2 linked regions of the Sus scrofa genome follow. The protein of the gene in region 2 interacts with the protein of the main gene of each other region in a pairwise test. Links are inferred from orthologs where the notes say so. Each region holds a gene or a part of one and is shown on either strand. Other genes may lie near its edges.

Evidence for each region.
Region 1: the proteins of NXF1 (region 2) and SRSF1 interact in binary tests that used the Homo sapiens proteins (3 or more experiments, as listed by UniProt). The link is inferred for Sus scrofa from reciprocal best matches to the Homo sapiens genes NXF1 and SRSF1.

The regions. Positions count from the first base shown.
Region 1 is NC_010454.4:34,279,307-34,283,618, forward strand, and holds the start of SRSF1 (serine/arginine-rich splicing factor 1), read right to left. Parts: upstream 2,813-4,312; 5' UTR 2,723-2,812; coding exon 2,529-2,722; exon of another isoform or gene 2,102-2,528; intron 2,094-2,101; coding exon 1,909-2,093; intron 1,563-1,908; coding exon 1,390-1,562; intron 1,187-1,389; coding exon 992-1,186; 3' UTR 1-991. UniProt on the Homo sapiens protein: Plays a role in preventing exon skipping, ensuring the accuracy of splicing and regulating alternative splicing.
Region 2 is NC_010444.4:8,979,948-8,982,489, reverse strand, and holds the end of NXF1 (nuclear RNA export factor 1), read right to left. Parts: intron 2,080-2,542; coding exon 1,897-2,079; intron 1,778-1,896; coding exon of another isoform or gene 1,756-1,777; exon of another isoform or gene 1,741-1,755; intron 1,015-1,740; coding exon 954-1,014; intron 844-953; coding exon 805-843; 3' UTR 503-804; downstream 1-502.

The DNA of each region.
Region 1 (4,312 bases), on a different chromosome or scaffold from region 2:
TGAGACTTAAAAAGTATTCCCAACTAGATTATCTACACCAATAAATTGGAATTCTATTATTTTGCTTTCATTTTGTCTTAAAAAAATGAAGTAGCAACGCTATTATATCAGTCACACAGAGGACATGCAGATTTAGCAGTATTGATATTATACTCTATCTGGTTGGAATTAAAGACACCCTGTACCCACAAGTACACCAACAGCAGGTCACACATTAACAGTTGTAACTAAGCACTGTGACAAATTAATCAGTTCTTCCCACATTAGTCCCTAATAAAACAAAAAAGGGAAGGGAGCAAAACAAATTGTTACAAAATGGGCCATGTAATTTTGCCACAATTGCCAGAGTTTTAAAGAGTAAAGCAATTGTAGCCAAATATAACTGCATAAAATGTTTTCAAGTGTTTTAAGATAGATGTATATAATCACTTTAAACCCTTGCCTTTTAGTATAAGGTCAATACTGCCAATTTCATCTGTGACAATAGCACTTGGAGTCATACCATTGCCTCCATTATTGATCTGATCCTCCTCAATCCTCCTTTTGACAATCCTAAAATGATTGAAATGTGCTCCACAATCCTTAATCCAAAGCATTCTTAATCCATCTCTTCAGATATGTCTACAGAAAGACACATGAAAAGCAAGATAAACATAAGAACTTCCCCAGGTAAGATAACCACCAACACCCCCAACATCCCAGTTCACACAAACCAGAGCAGAATAGACATTTACACAGTATCACAGTCTGAAGAGCATGGAGAGTTAACTAAATTTAAACAATCCTGTCTATGACATCACTTAAAATACAATTTATCAGACATGAGGGGAATGTAGATGTTAGGAGCAAGGGGATATTACACAAGAATGCAATTCAACACTTTAGCCCACTCTGAACAAAAACAGTTTTGAATTAAAAAATGAAAAGATTGTACTGAATAAAGGAAAACTGTATACAACATGGGTTCTACAAAAAAGTGTCACCAATCATCTTATGTACGAGAGCGAGATCTGCTATGACGGGGAGAATAGCGTGGTGATCCTCTGCTTCTCCTTGGGGAATAACTGCGACTCCTGCTGTTGCTTCTGCTACGGCTTCTGCTACGACTACGGCTTCGAGATCGAGATCTTCCATAACTTGGACTTCTGGGCCCATCAACTTTAACCCGGATGTAGGCAGTTTCTCCCTATTGGATAGACAGAACTTTCGATTGAAAGATCTAAGCTTTCACCTGTCTTCAGGCATGCTGAATGAATCAACGTAACTCAAACCAGAAATCTGGCACTTTACTGGGTTTTTACTTGGACACCCTTGCCTGAATCTTACCTTCAAATTCCACTGTTAAGACCACTGTATCCAATTCTGGCCAAGGAAAAGAATATAACCTACCTCATGAGATCTAAACTTAGTGTTATCCAGTTTTCGAACTGCATAGGTCATATCTTCTTTCCGTACAAACTCCACGACACCAGTGCCATCTCGGTAAACATCAGCATAACATACATCACCTGCTTCACGCATGTGATCCTTCAAATCCTGCCAGCTTCCACTTGGAGGCAGTCCTGAAAAAGTGCGTTTTCTTTCAATACCAATTATCCTAAGTTTCACATTAAACATAAAGGTTACATTAAAACAAGACTTAAAACCAACGGTCTTTAACATCCCGTTTAACGAGCTGTTAAAAGAGTTCGGAATCAAGAGTCCAAAATTATTTGTAAAGTTAAGGCTCTTCTTATCTTCTAGGTACTGCAACCTAATTCGCTAAGTCTCAAATAGAGTAGTCCTTGTTAACTAAAGTCACCCAAGGCACTCCGGTTTAAGTGAAGACCTGGCATGAAAACACCAAGAAAAACTTCAAAACGGTGTGCGGTCCCCTTATCATCAATCCGCACGGACCCGCCAACTCACCAGAGACAACCACTCTGTTTTCAGAACGCCTGGATGGGGGGCCATAGCGCCCTCGGGGAGCCCCGCCGCCACCACCCCCGCCGCCGCCTCGGCCGGTACCACGGCCGCTTCGAGGAAACTCCACCCGCAGACGGTATCCATCGTAATCATAGCCGTCGCGACCATACACCGCGTCTTCTGCGTCTCTGCGTGACCAGAGAAAGCCAAGGGGTAAGGAAAAGAAGAAAAAAAAAAAAAAAGGGCCAGGAGGGGCGGCTCACTCCGCCGGGGAGCGAGCGGGCCCCCGCACATGCGCACCGGGGTGGAAGAGCCCACATGCGCCGCATAATAGGAACGGCCCCTCCCCCACCCAGAAGCACGCCAGGCTCCCGACCACTCCAGCAGCCCTCGGCGCCTCAGTTTCCCGCTCCGAGCCTGCGAGTCGGCTCTAGGGACGTCCGTGGGGCCCGGCCACCAGAGGAGCCACGCCGACTCGGCTCCTTACTCGACTCCTGCATGGGCGATATCGTCTGGCCCCCAACCCAAGAACCCACCGCCCCATTCCCCAAGTGAAGGCCCCGGAGCCTTCCCCAACTACTCCAACCTATTTCCTCAAGGCCGCAAGCCCCTGGCCGCCTCACCGCGGGTCCTCGAACTCAACGAAGGCGAAGGGCGGTCCTCCGCGGCGATTCTTCAGGTCGATGTCGCGGATAGCACCGTATTTGTAGAACACGTCCTCAATGTCCTTGGTTCGGATGTCTGGAGGTAAGTTACCCACGTAGATGCGGCAATCGTTGTTCCCTGCCGGGCCACGGATCACACCACCTCCCGACATGGCGGCGACGAAAAGCGCGGACTCGAGAACAGGCCTTCCCACCAAGCCTAGCGAGCGGGAGAGCGAGCCCGCAGCGACACCACGTCTCCCGCGGCCCCTCCAAAATGGCGCCTTTATCAGCTCGGCGCACGGATATGGGGGGGAGGGAGGAAGAGAAGCGGGAGGAAGCAGCTATTCGATCTCACTACGCACGCGCAAGAGCGTAACGGGTGCTGCGAGAGTGACGCTCGCGCAAGCGCGACGTCACCCTCCGCGCGAAGGGAAAAAAGTTCCCGCCTTCCCGATTTGTCGAGGGGTTTAATAAGGGAGTGACCAGCCTTGTGGCAAAATTAAATATAGAGCTCTCGTAAAAGGGGTTATTAATCTCTGTCGAATCCTAAAGAATCAGCAGTTTCCTCAGGAATGTTTCTCTCAAAAAAACGGCGTCTTGAAAGTATTTGGTGAAACCTAGCCTAAAGCTAGGTCCCACCATGCTCTGCGCTGTTAACGGCCTTTGGCGGGAAAGACTGCCGGGGGCGGAGTCAAAGGGGGAGGGACCAGGCGGTTGCTCCGGAAACACGGGCATCCTTGGAGAGTGCACCTCGTTCAGGAGTCGCGTTGCGGGTGAATCAACGCGGAGCCGAGACGTGACTTTGTCTTCCCGCCCCATCTGCGAACGGGCCGTGGACTGCTTGGACGACTGTCTAATGCAGGGGAACCTGGCTGAGACGCTTTAATAAATATTCTACGCTAAGTACCGTTCCACCTTCGGTTCAGAACTGACCTCAGTTCAACGCTCCTTGTGCTCGTGGCGGTAATTCCTGGCGGCATCAGCCAACCAGGACCCAGACCTCTGCTTCTTTTTTAAATCACCTATCGCCAGGGCCCAGCGCAGCGGAGAGGTCCAGTGAAGGTTTGCAGAATGAATTGTGTCTGTTATTTCTACAACGTCTTTCAAAGAACGAAAAAGACGCGCGCCCTCCTGTTTGTATTGCAGAATCCTGACGTTCCTTCCTTTTTTGGAACTCATTAGCAAATCTCTCAGGTAATATGAATGAGCAAAGTGGATGTGTGAGGATTTCTGTGACCACTGGAGACCGAAGTGGCGGCTTAAGGACTCATCTCGCCAGCATGTTGGTCCAGGGAGATAAGAACTTGTTACATTTTGCCACGGAGCCATCTGAAATCTGGATTTTTATATGAAATACTGGGATTTTAAAATATTAATGGTGAATTCAAATTAAAAAAAAAACCCTGTCATAAATATGCTGAAACAGGTCTGCACCCTGATTGAGAGGATGATTTTCTTCATTTTTATTTATTCGCATCAATCCCTCTCCCCAGTGATGTGATGCTGTTTACAGAGATACCAGAAAACGTTATTGCAATTGAATGGAGAAATCACGGAGAATATAAGGGGAAATTAAAATGAAGTCATGGATAAAGTTAATACACAAAATGGCTGCAGTAAAAATTTGTGAGTTCTAAAGATGGATTACAAATTTGACCCTAGTCATCATGGCAGTCACAGTAAAGAAGGAAACAGTATATTCAAGATCCAAAGTGCCTTAAAAAGATTTTTCAGAAGGTCATGTTTTCAGTTCTAAAAGG
Region 2 (2,542 bases):
GCCCACACTTACCGATAGTGCCGCAGCCAAGAGCGAGGCCATAGCGCCAGAGCGCGGAGCGTAGGTCCAGGCGGCCACGGTCTGGGGACTCGGTGTCCGGAGGCCGAGCCGGGGCCGGGGGGCGGGTTAAGGCGGCAATGGCCAGGGAGGCCCAGAAGACGCCCTGGCCGGCACAGAACAGCCCGAGGACGGCGAAAAAGCGGCCTCGTTCGTGCTCGAAGAGCAGCACGTCCCGTGGCGGGGCTGCATCGTGCAGGGCCCGGCGCGCGGGTCGGGACTGCAGCGCCAGAAGCAGCCGCGCGGGTATGCGTGCCCCGGGCGCCGCCATGGCCCCGCAAGGGGCGACTTCCGGGGCGGGACTTCCTGCCGACGCCTCCTCCCCGCCCTCCCGGAGTCCCCGTCCGCCGCCTCCGTCCCCGCCCTCTAGGCCCAGCCCTGGCCTCCCTTCCGCCAGCACACGCAAAGGGCAAGGCTAATACAGAATTGCACGCTCTACACAAAATACAACATCACTCTTTATCTTAAAAAGTAGGAAGGATCGTGGGGTTAAGTACACAAAGCACCTAAGTCCTTTGAGTAGTTTAGTGTCAGTTCTACAAAGTAAGCTTTGGCTTCCTGGCACCAGAGGCTCAATCTCCTGGAAGTCTTCCAGAAGGCAGGTGAGGAGAGGGATCCAGCAGCACCCCCTCCTCGGTCACAGTCAAAGGGTGGCCTGGGGGCCGGAGAGGCGACAACCATGGCAACGAGACATCAATATATCCAAGGGCTATTTACAGGTGCCTTCTCTTGGAGCACAACTATGGGTCACTTTATGAATGCCACTTCTGGGATCTCGCCCTTGGCCTTAGGGAAAAATAAAAGGTTGGTAGAGTGAGGTGGATGGCACCCATGCCCCCAGCTTACTTGACCCTCTTGAAGGCTTGGAGATCTCTTTTTGCCACCCATTCCCTTACCTTGAGATGAGTAAAGGCCTGGGCAGATCTGGTGTAGTCCCAGTTGTTGTCCTGAAGACACCTGGAGCAGGGCAAGAACAGACACCTCTGTGAGAAACAACCACAGTCATTTTGATCACCAAAGGCCACTTCAAAATCCATTCTAGGGAGATCCCGTTGTGGAGCAGCAGAAAAGAATCCGACTACTATCCATGGAGATGCAGGTTCAATCCCTGGTCTTGCTCACTGGGTTGGGGATCCAGCACTGCCGTGAAGGTCACAGATGTGGCTCAGATCCCACAATGCTGTGGCTGTGGTGTAAGCTGGCAGTTAGAGCTCTGATTCGACCCCTAGTCTAGGAACTTACATATATGCCTCATGTGTGGCCTCAAAAAAAAAAAATCCATTCTATAGAAATACACGCCTGAGTTTGCCAACAATTATATACACGCTGTTATACTCTATACAAATGAAAAACTGGTAAAAATCCAAATGTCCATCAATGGTCTTTTGATATTAAGTAACTATTTCTACTAAATAGCTAATAGAAACAAGACTAAGGTAAGTTTTACACTAATAGGGAAAAATGCTCATGGGATAAGTAAAGTCAGTTGCAGAACAGTATAAAAAAGGGACTTCGCTTTGGCTTTAAATTGTTATGCTAATTTACGCACAAAGAAATTTTTTCTCAGGGACAATCTTTTTCTTTCTTTTTTTTTTTTTTGCCACGCTCACAGCATACATACCTTCCCAGGGCAGGGACAGAACCCACACCACAGCAGTGACCCAGGCCACAGCAGTGACAGTGCTAGATCCTTAAGCACTAGGCCACCAGGGAACATCCCCTTTTTTAAAAGCAATTAAAAAAAAAAAAGGTCTGGTTTTAAAAATTTTATGGGCACTCATTATTCACCACCAGCCCTACCTCAGTTTACCCCTGTGCCTACACAGGCCCAGTACTCACTTCTGGGACCACTCAAGGTTCATGCCAGACTGGGTAGAGAATGCTTGCAGCATTTCCTGCTGTTCTGGGGAGAGGGTGGGCACTGGGCTGGAGGAAGGCGTGGGCGCCGGCATGGCGAAGGCTCTTTGGATCTCATCGGGACTGGCATTCCGCACAAACAGCTCGTCGTTTACGATGCACAGCCTTGGAGACAAAGAGCACCTTAGACACAGCGGGACAGACAGAGAACCTCATCCTCCCACCGTCACTCCTCGTTTGACACTCAGATTCCTTCAATACCCACGAGGTCCCTTCATCATTCACCCCCTTTCCTGTGGACTCTATGTATGGGATTACCTACCAAACACGCTAGAATTAGACATTCTCCCCCAACCCACAGACAGTTCTTAGCCCTCATTTATTTTCACAACAGACTCAGAAAGTGAATGCTGTTAAACTGATTTGCAGATGAGGAAACTTGCCCTTGGCTAGAAGTAGTGGAGCCAGGATGGAAGACCCAGGCAGCTGGACTCCAGAGCCAAACCCTTCACCACTGTGTGAGCCTCCTCTGCTCCCTCAGCCTTTCTGAAATTCTGAAAATGCCCAGAGGGGTGACTCCACCGTCCCCACATTTCACAGTGGTGGGGGCCAGGGATTGGGGACTGGG